3 linked regions of the Saccharomyces cerevisiae S288C genome follow. Changing the gene in region 1 together with any one later gene gives a genetic interaction. Each region holds a gene or a part of one and is shown in the gene's direction. Other genes may lie near its edges.

Region 1 (4,540 bases):
TCCCCACTTGGCAGGGTCTAATCCGTACAGTTCCAGAGCTCTTGCTTGACACAAGGATTCGGACTTATCGATGATTTCGTTACCTCCGTAGTATCTTTCACCTGGATAACCTTCAGAATACTTGTTTTGGAGCTCAGAACCTAGCAAATCCATAACGGCCTTCGAGGTGAAGTTTTCTGATGGGATAAGGGTGATAGAGTGTTTTTGTCTGTGACGTTCTTGTTGCAAGATGTCAAACATCTCTGGATCTCCCTCCGAGACTGGTTTGGAGACTAGCGATTGTGCACCACTGGTGAGTAGCCCACGACGATGAACAGTTGCCATACATTTGGCCAATGCAGAAGCTCTGGGAAACATGATTGAAAGACTATGAGACTCGATGTGGAAATGTCGGCTTGATGATTTTTGATAGTTTGCTCTTCTCCAAGAGGCGATGGCTTTTAGTATTTTTTTTCTCATTGACCACCAATAAGCGAAGTACCTAAAAAAAAATAATGAGTCTTTTTTATATTCTATCTCTTGGACAGAAGGGGGACAGAACAGACAGTGGACTAAGAACCAGCAGATAACGGAGAGAATCATGTCGAAATTGGGTCCGTTAGCAAGATCTGTGAAGTGGACTCTCTCTGTGGGAGTAATCGGTTCTGTTTTTTACCTGTACCGATACAGTAACAATGGCTACTTCTACGATCACGATGCTACATGGTTGAAACAAGATCATCAGGTACAGGACCTGGTGGATAGAAAAGAAGTGGTACCTGGGGAGACCAGGAACCGCAAGCTAGTTGTGACGGATGATGGCACTGCATGGAGCAGGACCATGGGGGAGAGCATAAAAGATATTTGGAATGAACAGATAAGAAACTCTGTCGATTGGATCTACTCCTGGGGTAAGAATTAGCGAGCTTTCTATTTCTCCTACTGTAACGAACATCCTCATGTATATAACCTATTGTAACGACTCTGTGTAGAACTTTATATTCAGAAAAAATATCAAAAGAAAAATTTAATTATTAATCAGTACTTTTCACTCTGGTAATGTGCATCGGTGTCAAGAGCATCTCCAAGAAAGAATACATAAACAACAACGATGGACGTGCCTGCAGATTCCCATATCAAATACGAAGATGCCATCGACTATTGGACGGATGTGGACGCCACTGTGGATGGTGTTCTAGGTGGATACGGAGAAGGTACAGTAGTACCCACAATGGATGTCCTGGGATCCAATAACTTCCTGCGTAAACTGAAGTCGAGGATGCTGCCTCAGGAGAACAACGTGAAGTACGCTGTAGACATTGGTGCGGGGATTGGACGTGTAAGCAAGACCATGCTTCACAAGCACGCCGCTAAGATAGACCTTGTAGAACCGGTAAAGCCTTTTATCGAGCAAATGCACGTTGAATTGGCTGAGCTGAAAGACAAAGGCCAAATTGGACAAATATATGAAGTAGGGATGCAGGACTGGACCCCCGATGCCGGCAAGTACTGGCTGATCTGGTGCCAATGGTGCGTGGGACACCTGCCAGATGCAGAACTCGTCGCATTCCTGAAAAGATGTATTGTTGGTTTGCAACCTAATGGGACAATCGTGGTCAAAGAAAATAACACACCTACAGATACCGATGATTTCGACGAAACGGATTCTTCGGTCACAAGGTCAGATGCTAAGTTCAGGCAAATCTTCGAAGAAGCTGGCCTAAAGCTCATCGCCAGTGAAAGACAACGTGGCTTACCAAGAGAATTGTACCCAGTGAGGATGTACGCACTCAAGCCCATGCCAAACTAGGATCAAGGATGCATAGATTTATATAGATACGCCCCTTTTCTTGTGCTGGCATTCACCATTTGTGCCATTATATAGACTTTTTTTTCGATATATATGGAAAAAGAACCCAGAAAATAAAGAATGTGAACAAAATAGTATGTAAAGTAAAAACATACAATCTCGGAAGATTAAAAGAGAAGTGATATAGACAAGATGGAAGAGACTGCGAAGAAACCAGCTAGTGCCACAGTAAGTGCGAAGTCGTCGCACGATGGTGGCACCGACGATTTGGCGCACCTTTTTAGCACGCCAGAGATCAAGAAGGTGCTAAATTCCGATGTGGCAATTAACGCTTTGTTGAGCCGTTTAAAGCAGTCGTTGTTGACTTGTGAAGAGTTTATGAAATTTATTAGAAAGAAATACGCCTTCGAAGAAGAGCACGTTCAGGAGCTCTCCAAGCAATATAAGCACTTTTTCAACATTCAGGGTTCCACAAATTCATCCTTAAAAAAGATGATTCACGAAGTTTTGGGATTCGATGGCAAGATGGCTCAAGTAAAGCAGAGTTATATCACCGCCTTGCAGAAAATGTACTCCGAGATTAGTAGTCTTTTATTAACAATGACAAAATTAAGAAAGTCTGTCAAGGAGAACAGCAAAAGGCTGGAAAAGGATGTTTCTGATGCCATACACAGCGCAGAAAAGGCGCAATCTCGTTACAATTCGTTGTGCCAAGATTGGGACAAATTGAGGATGACTGACCCAACAAAAACAAAGCTGACCTTGAGAGGTTCCAAAACTACGAAGGAACAAGAAGAAGAATTGTTAAGAAAAATCGATAACGCCGATCTGGAATATAAGCAAAAAGTAGATCATTCTAATTCTTTGAGAAACACATTCATAACGAAGGAGAGACCTAGAATTGTTCAAGAATTAAAAGATTTGATTTTAGAAATAGACACAGCGATGACTATCCAATTGCAGAAGTACACGATATGGACGGAAAATTTGGTTCTGAATACAGGTGTTACAATAAGCCCATTGGACTCCACCAAATCTATGAAATCATTTGCTGGATCTGTTTCCAATGAACGTGATCTTTACAGTTTTTTGAACAAGTATAACCAAACAGGAAAACATTCCCTACTGATCAACAAAAACTTGATCCCTGTATCATACAAAAAGCATCCATCAATGAATCATGGTCAGAAAAATAAGAGCCCCCCAAAGTTTGCCGTGGACCCTTCAAGAAACTCCATCCCGAAGAGAATGATATCCACTCATAATGAATCTCCATTTTTGAGCAGTAGTAGTAACACTGCCGCTGTTCCGAATGCTAATCTTAACAGTGCTACACCGTCCTTAAATACCAACAAGCAGTTACCACCTACTATGGCTTCATCTATTTCTTCCACTAGCAATGCGGCTGGCGCTATGTCACCGTCTTCTTCCATTGTAACAAGCGACACCACATCATCCATAACAAAGACCCTGGATCCTGGCAACAATAGTCCACAAATTCCAGAAGAATTGATTAACTCTTTAGACTCGGATCGCCCGATTTCTCACATTCAGACTAACAACAATATGCCACCCGGTGTTCAAAAAAATTTCAAAACATTTGGTGTACCGCTAGAATCACTGATAGAATTCGAACAAGACATGGTCCCTGCGATAGTGCGCCAATGCATATACGTTATTGATAAATTTGGGCTTGATCAAGAAGGAATTTATAGAAAATCGGCAAATGTACTTGATGTCAGCAAGTTGAAGGAGGAAATTGATAAGGATCCCGCAAACATTTCCATGATTCTACCATCAAAGCCACATTCTGATTCGGATATTTATTTAGTAGGATCACTGCTGAAAACTTTTTTTGCGTCGCTGCCTGATAGTGTTTTACCAAAGGCCCTATCATCGGAGATCAAGGTTTGTTTACAAATTGAAGACCCAACAACAAGAAAAAATTTTATGCACGGACTAATATATAACCTCCCCGACGCACAATACTGGACGTTAAGGGCTCTTGTCTTTCATTTGAAAAGAGTGTTGGCACATGAAGCCCAAAACAGAATGAATTTAAGGGCTCTTTGTATAATTTGGGGTCCAACTATTGCGCCTGCAAATCCAGATGACGCTAATGATGTAAATTTTCAAATTATGGCAATGGAAGTATTATTAGAGGTTTCAGATCAAGCTTTTGAGCCTGAATAAACATAGCACTTATGATATTTTCATTCCGTCTTTAATTTCCACTTGTATGTACATTGACGCTGTTATCAGATTTAAGTAAAAACAAAGGAAAATTATATATTGAGAAAAAAAAAAATTCTGTTGTACTATTCCATAATAATTTACTACAAAACTTGCTAAGGTCCAACTCCCTGTCTTCACGGTTGTTAAATTAACCTTATTAATGATGTTTTCTGTCCATCCCTTTTGTACTTAAAATTAAATGCGTAAAACTTTTGTCCTTTTTCGTTCTCTTTCAACAACAATAGTTTCAATTTTGTTAGCCTGTTCAAATTGTACAATAAGATTTCATTCCGTTTACTTGTCGGTAAAACAGCTAATTTTTCCTGTATGCTAGTTAATGATAAGGAATCAACTTCATTATATAAGTACAATATGCTCGTAGTACACATGTTGGAAACGAGTTTCAAATGCGTATTTCTTGTAGTATCGATAATAATTGGTAGTTCAATTTCAAAAAGGTGGAATGCAAATGCGTCTTGCAAAATTTGACCCCTCTTTAATTGCTTATTCGCGAAA
Region 2 (5,604 bases), on another chromosome or scaffold:
ATGACTACACTAGAAACTGAATGGTTCCATATTGAAAAACATATACCCTCAACGAATAGTCTGATTGCTAGGCATAATATTCTAAGGGACTGTAAGAATTATGAGCTATATGGTTCTGATGATGGAACAGGTTTATCGATGGACCAGGCGTGTGCAGTTTGTTTAGGCACAGACAGTGACAATCTGAATACAATTGTCTTTTGTGATGGATGCGATATTGCTGTGCATCAAGAATGTTACGGTATAATTTTTATCCCGGAAGGAAAATGGTTATGTAGACGATGTATGATCTCAAAAAATAACTTTGCCACTTGTCTAATGTGTCCAAGTCATACAGGTGCATTCAAACAAACAGACACCGGTTCTTGGGTACATAACATTTGTGCTCTATGGCTTCCAGAGCTATACTTTTCAAACTTACATTATATGGAACCTATAGAAGGCGTTCAAAATGTTAGCGTATCACGATGGAAACTTAACTGCTACATCTGTAAAAAGAAGATGGGTGCTTGCATTCAGTGCTTTCAAAGAAACTGTTTTACAGCATATCATGTCACGTGTGCCCGTCGAGCTGGTCTCTACATGAGTAAAGGGAAATGCACTATTCAAGAATTGGCCTCTAATCAATTCTCCCAAAAGTATTCAGTCGAAAGTTTCTGCCACAAGCATGCACCTAGAGGATGGCAAACGAGTATAGAAGGTATTAATAAAGCTAGAAAATACTTCTCTCTACTCTCTACATTACAAACCGAAACTCCTCAGCATAATGAAGCTAATGATAGGACAAATTCAAAATTCAACAAAACAATTTGGAAAACACCTAATCAAACGCCGGTAGCACCACATGTTTTTGCTGAAATATTGCAAAAGGTCGTTGATTTTTTTGGCTTAGCTAACCCACCAGCAGGCGCATTTGATATTTGCAAATATTGGTCAATGAAAAGGGAGCTTACAGGAGGTACCCCATTAACTGCCTGTTTTGAAAATAATTCATTGGGGTCCTTAACCGAGGAACAAGTGCAAACAAGAATAGATTTTGCCAATGATCAGCTCGAAGACTTGTACCGGCTCAAAGAGCTGACTACTTTGGTGAAAAAGAGAACACAAGCTTCAAACAGCTTGTCCAGATCCCGAAAGAAGGTTTTTGATATAGTTAAATCGCCCCAAAAATATCTTTTAAAAATCAATGTACTGGATATCTTTATAAAATCTGAACAATTCAAGGCTCTTGAAAGATTGGTTACTGAACCTAAATTATTGGTTATTTTAGAAAAGTGTAAACATTGTGATTTTGATACTGTCCAAATTTTTAAGGAGGAAATTATGCATTTTTTTGAGGTTTTGGAAACTCTACCCGGTGCATCAAGAATACTCCAAACTGTCTCATCAAAGGCAAAAGAGCAAGTAACAAATTTAATTGGGCTCATAGAACATGTAGATATTAAGAAGTTGCTATCCAGAGATTTTATAATAAATGATGACAAGATAGAAGAAAGACCATGGAGTGGCCCGGTGATTATGGAAGAAGAAGGTTTAAGCGATGCAGAAGAACTGAGTGCAGGGGAACACCGTATGCTGAAGCTAATCCTTAACAGCGGATAAAATAAAGGTTTTAATATTGCATTATGTATAATGAGTATGTATTTTTATGCTATTCTTGTAAAAGTTTGGCTTATTATTTACTTTCATGGAACACTTAGTAAAAATAACTTAGAAAGGTCGTCTTTTCTTTATTCTTTAGCATTTCAATACCGAACTAAATATCCGTTTTTATAGTTTAGTTGGTTTTGTTTAATTTCTAGAATCCTGTTCGGCGCTTTTGTTAAAAGTAAAAAATGAAAATTCAAACGAAATGAACCTAATCACGTTAGAATTTAAATCTTGGAATATGTTAAATATAAAACAAGAAGAGCAAGCAATACTATTTCTGACTAATTCTCTATACACATAAGAGCAAAACAAAATGTTCGGTAGCAAACGTCTGAAAAATGTTAAGGAAGCATTTAAGTCCCTAAAAGGCCAAAATTCAGAGACACCCATTGAGAACTCAAAGGCGTCTTTTAAATCCAAAAATTCAAAGACATCTACTATTTCCAAAGATGCGAAATCTTCCTCTTCTTTGAAGATTCCTATAAGTTCAAATAACAAAAATAAAATTTTTTCACTAGCAGAAACCAACAAATATGGGATGAGCAGTAAACCGATCGCAGCCGCTTTCGATTTCACCCAAAATTTATTGGCAATTGCTACAGTCACAGGGGAAGTCCATATTTATGGCCAGCAACAAGTGGAAGTGGTTATAAAACTGGAGGATAGATCTGCTATAAAAGAAATGAGATTTGTGAAAGGTATCTATTTGGTGGTCATTAACGCAAAAGATACTGTGTATGTTTTATCGTTATATTCTCAAAAAGTACTTACAACAGTGTTTGTTCCGGGGAAAATAACATCAATTGACACAGATGCATCCTTAGACTGGATGCTAATCGGCCTTCAAAATGGTTCAATGATAGTTTACGACATAGATAGGGATCAACTTTCCTCCTTCAAATTAGACAACCTACAAAAAAGCTCATTTTTTCCGGCTGCAAGACTATCACCTATAGTATCCATTCAGTGGAACCCTAGAGATATTGGAACTGTTTTAATATCATATGAGTATGTAACTCTAACATACTCATTGGTTGAGAACGAAATCAAACAATCCTTCATATACGAATTACCACCTTTTGCTCCAGGAGGCGACTTCTCAGAAAAAACCAATGAAAAGAGAACTCCCAAAGTTATTCAGTCCTTATATCACCCTAATTCACTGCACATTATCACTATTCATGAAGACAATTCCTTGGTTTTCTGGGATGCTAATTCAGGCCATATGATCATGGCAAGGACAGTGTTTGAGACAGAAATCAATGTTCCACAACCTGATTACATACGCGATTCTAGTACTAATGCTGCCAAAATTTCGAAAGTGTATTGGATGTGTGAAAACAATCCAGAATATACTTCACTACTCATCTCTCATAAGTCAATCAGCAGAGGAGATAATCAAAGTCTCACTATGATCGACCTCGGTTACACACCTAGATATTCAATAACCTCTTATGAAGGTATGAAGAACTACTATGCAAATCCGAAACAAATGAAGATATTTCCCTTACCAACCAATGTGCCAATAGTGAATATACTACCAATTCCAAGACAGTCCCCGTATTTTGCAGGATGTCATAATCCGGGGTTAATTTTGTTAATCCTAGGTAACGGTGAGATAGAAACAATGCTATATCCTTCTGGAATATTTACAGATAAAGCCTCTTTATTCCCTCAAAATCTTTCCTGGCTGAGACCATTAGCCACGACTTCAATGGCCGCTTCTGTACCAAACAAATTATGGCTTGGTGCGCTTTCTGCAGCTCAAAACAAGGATTATTTGTTGAAGGGAGGGGTTAGAACAAAAAGGCAAAAACTTCCCGCTGAGTACGGTACAGCATTCATTACCGGCCATTCTAATGGCTCAGTTAGGATATACGATGCTTCCCATGGGGATATACAAGATAATGCTAGCTTTGAAGTGAATCTATCAAGAACGTTGAACAAGGCCAAAGAACTAGCAGTTGATAAGATATCTTTTGCCGCAGAGACTCTCGAGTTGGCGGTGTCAATTGAAACAGGAGACGTTGTTTTATTCAAATATGAAGTAAACCAGTTTTACAGTGTTGAGAACAGACCAGAAAGCGGTGACCTGGAGATGAATTTCAGGCGGTTTTCTTTGAATAATACGAATGGTGTTCTCGTCGATGTGAGAGACAGGGCACCTACCGGTGTTAGGCAGGGATTTATGCCATCAACTGCCGTGCATGCCAACAAAGGGAAAACATCTGCAATCAACAACAGTAATATTGGATTTGTTGGAATCGCATATGCTGCCGGAAGCCTTATGTTGATCGATAGAAGAGGTCCTGCAATCATTTACATGGAAAACATTAGAGAAATCTCGGGAGCTCAAAGCGCATGTGTTACCTGCATCGAATTCGTAATTATGGAGTATGGAGACGATGGTTACTCTAGTATATTGATGGTCTGTGGTACTGATATGGGCGAGGTAATCACATACAAAATTCTTCCTGCATCAGGTGGAAAGTTCGATGTGCAACTAATGGATATTACTAATGTTACCAGTAAGGGTCCGATACACAAAATTGATGCATTTTCAAAGGAAACAAAATCTAGCTGCTTGGCAACTATTCCAAAAATGCAGAATTTAAGTAAAGGCCTTTGCATTCCTGGTATTGTATTAATAACTGGATTCGATGATATCAGATTAATAACACTGGGCAAATCTAAAAGTACACATAAAGGTTTCAAATACCCGCTTGCCGCGACAGGTTTATCTTACATCTCAACCGTTGAGAAAAATAATGATAGGAAGAACCTAACCGTAATAATTACATTAGAAATCAATGGCCATCTAAGAGTTTTTACTATTCCAGATTTCAAAGAACAAATGTCTGAACATATTCCATTTCCAATTGCCGCAAAATACATTACAGAATCATCTGTTTTAAGAAATGGTGATATAGCGATTCGAGTGAGTGAATTTCAGGCGTCACTATTTTCTACTGTCAAGGAACAGGATACGCTAGCGCCAGTTTCTGACACACTGTACATCAATGGAATCAGGATTCCCTATAGGCCACAAGTAAATTCATTACAGTGGGCAAGAGGCACTGTATATTGTACTCCCGCTCAATTAAATGAATTATTGGGTGGCGTGAATAGACCTGCATCCAAATACAAAGAGAGCATCATTGCTGAGGGAAGTTTCTCGGAGCGTTCTTCAGACGATAATAATGCGAACCATCCGGAACACCAGTATACCAAGCCCACCCGTAAGGGCAGGAACAGTAGTTACGGGGTACTAAGAAATGTTTCTCGAGCTGTAGAAACTAGATGGGACGCCGTTGAAGATAGATTCAACGACTATGCTACCGCCATGGGAGAAACAATGAACGAGGCTGTTGAGCAGACTGGAAAAGATGTAATGAAAGGTGCCCTTGGTTTTTAAATACATACACTAATTCATACAGGGTAATGAGCAACTTCCTTCTATACTTATTTTTTTTTAGTTCTATATGCTTTATAAATTAATTTGAATCGATTTATTTTTCATTATACATGTCTAGTTTTACGAAGGTTTGTAAATACATGAGCTATCAAGTTTATAATCCTTTAATTAAACGAGTGACCTCATTTAGACCATCTTCATGAATTTGTGATAACTTTTCTTGAACAATAGGAACAATGTCAGCCGCACTAACCAATTCACCATCATCATCGGCAAATTCTTGGCCCAATCTTTTGACACGTAATTTACCTTCTAAGTACTCCTCCTTACCGAGGATTACGGCAATGTGACAACCCGCTTTTTCAGCAGCATCGAATTGCTTCCTAGGATTAGCCTTGGCCTTATAGACATATTCAGCTTCAATGCCAGCATCCCATAATTGCTTAGTAACCTTCATTCTTTCGGGTAAATAACCAGTCCAGTCCTTACCACCACCAAAAGCCATAACGAACACCTGTGTAGCCGTTGGCTTTATAGTT
Region 3 (5,168 bases), on another chromosome or scaffold:
CAAATATTCAATATAAGCATTTATATCCTTACTACCATATCAACATGTAAATATTGATAGCCACTTATTCCAACAGAATCGGATAAGCGCTATTTTTTTTTATTAAAGCCTTCCCCTCTCTCATCGCCAAGAATTCTATTGTTTCTCCTAGACCCTGCTTTCGCGGCGCGGTATTCCTGTGCCAGCGGTAAGGGTTCAGTCATTGTATTATGTAGAAGTATCGAATGTGACACAAACATACGCCACTAATATGAGAATGCAGGCGCGATAGCTTTGTAATGTTTTTCAGTTGTATCACAGTAAACTAGAGCGGATCCCTAAATAAGTATCATCAAGCTCGATACACAAAACTTTGAAATGAACTTCTTCGACTTTTAGACGCTTGTTCAAACTTTTATCAATGATGTTGTCAATTAAATAGACTTATATTGCTGTTTCATTGTTATCGCTTTGTTAAGAGGTTGCTAGGTAAATAACCAGACATTTACTATTGCTAGTATGCGATATAATAATTATGACAACTCTGGAAGTTCCTTCTTAACTAGAGTAGTTAAAAAGTCAGATATGGAGAAAACGTTATTATTAAATAGAGAAATTGATGACTGGAAGTCAAACGATAAAAAGAAGGCATATAAGGAACGCGGAAGAGTTTATGCAAGTTGCTCATTTATTGAAGTATCCTTTTCTCAAATAAGGGCTGTTGATGTTGAAAAAAAAATTGAGAATGCCGAACAACTAAGAGATCTTACAAGAAATATTGTTAAGAACAAAACCAGCTCTTTGAACGAAATTACACCCTCAAAGAATCGTGTAACTAGTGCATGCAATTCCGAGAGACGTACGACTAGCCAAGAAGCAAACAATCTTGAAGGCTACCATAGTTGTGCACAAGGAACTAGTCGGTCTGCCAGTATTACGAAGAAATACAGCAAAAAGACTACTAGTCGTCCTAAAAGAGAAAAGAGACAAACAATCCTCCCAAATGGTGAGATAAAGGAATGCTCTAAATGTAAAGACACTTGGACAATTCAATGGCGTAGTGGACCCGACCAAAACAGGGAACTTTGTAGTCCCTGTGGACTCGCCTATGGAAAAAGACTGAAGAAGGAGAATGAAAAAAAAAGGCAAGCAGCAGATAAAAGGATAGATCGAAACAATCCATAGTATCTATTTAATTCTTTCACCGCATAGATGATATTTTTCCACTAGGATATTCCACCTTTTTTTTTTCTAATATTGGCACTTCAGTTATAATGTATTTTCTTCGTCTTTGTTCTTATATTGTACTATTATTCATAATATTTATTACGTTTTATATGGAGTTTCTTTTTGATTAATGGCTTCCTGCTAGTATTACTATATGACTATAGCAACAAACTTTGCAGTTAGTTTTGTTGAGATTGTATGCTCAATAAGTTTAAGTGAACTTCTACAAGTTGTACCTCATTTCTCGGTTTTGAAATTAAGTATTCTTGGTTCAGGTTTGCAGTTCTTTTTAATGTTGTTTTTTACAATCAAAGTATGCTCATCGGTATATACAGAAGTGCCAGTTTGGGATTTTTGAGTCCCTGAATATGCGCTTCATGCTTTTTTATTATGTAAAGTTAGTTCGGGTAAGAAGTAGTAACCAAAAAAATCGCAACAATAGATTCTCATTCGCTTTTTGACTTGGTAACTTATAATTTCTCCACAGTATTTGCACCCTTTTAATGTCCGATTTCTCGAGGAATAAGTAACCAGGAATACAGAAGGTATCCACCGCCAGTTATGCTGATCATCAATGGGAAGATCATCCCTATAGCTCATACTATTTGTGCATTCTCCGCCTTCTTTGCAGCTTTGGTCACTGGTTATTCATTACATTTTCATAAAATTGTAACCAATGCACATTATACGTATCCAGATGAGTGGTTTCCTAGTGTATCAGCCACTATCGGGGACCGCTATCCGGAACGTTCTATTTTCCAAATCTTAATAGCTCTAACTGCTTTTCCAAGATTTTTACTGCTACTAGGTCACTACTACTTGAACCAATCTAAGGTATGCTTCCTTGTCGGTGTACTCCGGACAGTCTCTTGCGGTGGTTGGGTATACATTACAAGTACAGATGACCACGATATTCATGATATATTTATGATCACATACATTGTTTTAACGTTACCATGGGATATAATGATTACCCGCTATTCTAGTCCTTTAACTTCGAAGAACAAAGGGTTGACTGCTACAATTTTTTTTGGAACATTGTTCCCGATGATTTACTGGTACATTCAGCACTCCGTCCAACAGAGAGCTGGGGCATATTCTATATATGCTTATTTCGAATGGTCTCTGATTCTTTTAGATATTGCATTTGATGCATTTGCTTACGCTGATTTCAAAAAGATAGATATTGTTCTCGCTTTTAATGAGAAACCCGGTAATACCAGTTTTTTCCAAATTAGAGACTCTAGTCCCATAAATTATGGAGAAGAAAAAAGTTCAGAATTGCAGAAAAGTGGTGAAAAGAAGGTTGAAAAGGAAAAACCCGTTGCTAGAAGCGCAACTGGTTCATATTTCAGGTTTGACTCTTTTTTTTACTTACTAACAAATATTTTTAACGGTTTTCTTTTCTGGTCGAACGTTACGTCCCTGTTATGTAGTATTTGGCATTTCCCGCTATGGTATATGGGAATCTCAGGTTATGAAGCTGCAATATTGGGTTATTTGGGACCCATTTTCTTATATCTGCCGTTCGTTTCTGAAGCCTTCACGCAATATGGTGTACTTTTAGGAGGTATTATTGCCATTGGTGCCTATATTGTTCAGATGCCAGAATTAAGGTTGATTTCTGTAGCTGTGGGAACTTCCATTACCGTTGCAACGTTTGTACAAAATCTAAGATATATCACAAATGCGGAGACTAGTTTCTCTTTTGCTCTAACTTGGCTGTTAGGTCTTGTTGCATCTGTGATCTTGAAAATGGGGTTCTATACCAACAATCCAACTTGGGTCATTTTAGATGAACGTAATGGTGGGTATAATAAGACAGCTCTCGTGCTTACTGTTTTATTCGGCATGCTGTCGCCTTATGTTAATTCAATTAATTTCGAAGGGAAAAGGAATGCTCAAGCAAAATCTGCTTCGTTGATTGGCAAATTATTTTTGGCTGTTGGTTTTGGCTCGTTGTTATTCGGAATTCATCAGTTATTGACGGATTCTTCTACTACTATTTATTGGGCATGGGAAGGTTACAATGAATCACACGGTCCCTTGCCATGGCCTTGGGGCGCCTTAACTTGTACGGTCATGTTATTTGCTTCTTTGAGTTCTGTGAAGTTTATGGGCAAGCCATTAGTTCCATGTTTGTTGCTTCTCATATCCACTGCTGTACTTTCAGCTAGAAGCATTACACAATGGCCTAAATATATTTTCGGTGGTTTATTGTACGCTATCGCTATGCTTTGGTTAGTTCCTTCGTATTTTTCTGCATTAGGCCAAGTTCAAAACATATGGGTTTATGTCCTATCATTCTCCGTTTATATTATCTTTGTCCTTGCCCATGTTTGGGTCGTTGCATACGCATTTGTTCCAATGGGCTGGGTACTGAGGGAGAAGATTGAGACGGTTCTTGCCTTTTCTTCCACATTTATCATTATTGGTGCTTTAACATGCAAAAACCTTAACATTCAACTGGTGACTATGGGCAAAAAATTCTTCATTTATGTTTTCTTCTTTGCCGTGGCCCTGCTATCACTAACAGCTAGGTTCGTGTATGATATTAGACCTACAGGAATTCCTCAGCCTTATCATCCAGATTCTCAGTTGATTACAGCTGGTATTTGGACTATCCACTTTGGTCTCGATAATGATATGTGGGCATCTGAAGACAGAATGATCAACCTTATTAAAGATATGGAACTAGATGTGGTAGGTCTACTAGAAACAGATACACAAAGAATTACCATGGGGAACAGGGATCTAACTAGCAAACTAGCTCATGATTTGAATATGTATGCAGATTTCGGACCAGGTCCAAATAAACATACCTGGGGCTGTGTTCTTCTTTCTAAATTCCCTATCGTAAATTCTACGCATCATTTATTGCCCTCTCCAGTTGGGGAACTTGCGCCAGCCATTCATGCCACACTTCAAACGTACAATGACACTCTCGTTGACGTCTTTGTATTCCATAGTGGACAAGAAGAGGATGAAGAGGATAGAAGACTGCAAAGTAACTACATGGCTAAGCTCATGGGCAATACGACTCGCCCAGCTATTTTATTAAGTTACTTAGTTGTTGATCCAGGTGAAGGCAACTACAATACGTACGTTAGTGAAACATCCGGAATGCACGACATTGATCCTTCTGACGATGATAGATGGTGTGAGTATATCTTGTATAGGGGCTTGAGAAGAACAGGATATGCTAGAGTTGCAAGAGGAACGATAACCGATACGGAGCTACAAGTTGGTAAGTTCCAAGTTTTGAGTGAGCAAGCGTTAGTAGAGCACTCGGATTCTATGTATGAATACGGTCATATGAGTGAACCGGAATATGAGGACATGAAATTTCCAGATAAGTTTTTAGGCGAAGGTGAGAGGGGTCACTTCTACCATGTTTTTGATGAGCCACGTTATTACTTATAAGAGGCCGTAAGGTGGTTTTATAAATCAGTGTAATCACATTGTGTGTACTGAAAATCTTGATAACTTAAGGTAAGTTATGTATCCACCTGATTTTTTTGACCTCGAATTTTAAAAATTTATGTGATTTCTTTATGTATGTTACTTAGACGATCTTGTTATAGTTTTGTAAGAAATTATACTTCCTGAAACGATTTATCCCGCTACTTTTTGAGCGTATTTCACAGTAAAATATATACTACAACTGAACAACGTTGTTGAACTCTATGTTAAACATCAACGAAGAAATTCTTAAGTTCTATCTGCTCCGAGTCATCATTCTTCCAAATTTCTAGTAATTTCAGACTTCTTTGAACAAGCTCTTTATTCGGCATTTGTACTTCCTCTTGCTCGTCTTGTACCTCTTTTTGCTTCCCTTGTTCGGCATTACCGTCTTTTTCACCTTCTTCTTTTTCTTCACCATTAATTGGTTCGCTAGCCTTATCCTCTGCAATTAACGCTTTTATTTTTGTTTCTTGATCTTCCACATAGTCGTTCCATTG

Evidence for each region. A genetic interaction does not mean that the proteins touch.
Region 2: mutations in RGD1 (region 1) and SRO7 together harm fitness more than expected from each alone (negative genetic interaction), as found in Saccharomyces cerevisiae (2 studies listed by BioGRID).
Region 3: mutations in RGD1 (region 1) and CWH43 together harm fitness more than expected from each alone (negative genetic interaction), as found in Saccharomyces cerevisiae (2 studies listed by BioGRID).

What each region holds. Positions count from the first base shown.
Region 1 is NC_001134.8:732,081-736,620, reverse strand, and holds RGD1 (GTPase-activating protein RGD1), read left to right. Parts: upstream 1-1,981; coding exon 1,982-3,982; downstream 3,983-4,540. Other genes in the region: glycine hydroxymethyltransferase SHM1, read right to left, coding at 1-357; MIC12 (Mic12p), read left to right, coding at 581-901; TAE1 (N-terminal protein methyltransferase), read left to right, coding at 1,091-1,789; YBR259W (uncharacterized protein), read right to left, coding at 4,168-4,540.
Region 2 is NC_001148.4:632,160-637,763, forward strand, and holds SRO7 (Rab GTPase-binding protein SRO7), read left to right. Parts: upstream 1-1,963; coding exon 1,964-5,065; downstream 5,066-5,604. Other genes in the region: NTO1 (Nto1p), read left to right, coding at 1-1,602; HTS1 (histidine--tRNA ligase), read right to left, coding at 5,220-5,604. UniProt on the Saccharomyces cerevisiae protein: Acts as an allosteric regulator of polarized exocytosis by promoting the targeted fusion of vesicles with the plasma membrane.
Region 3 is NC_001135.5:144,234-149,401, reverse strand, and holds CWH43 (Cwh43p), read left to right. Parts: upstream 1-1,767; coding exon 1,768-4,629; downstream 4,630-5,168. Other genes in the region: SRD1 (Srd1p), read left to right, coding at 499-1,164; RNA-binding ribosome assembly factor RBP95, read right to left, coding at 4,896-5,168.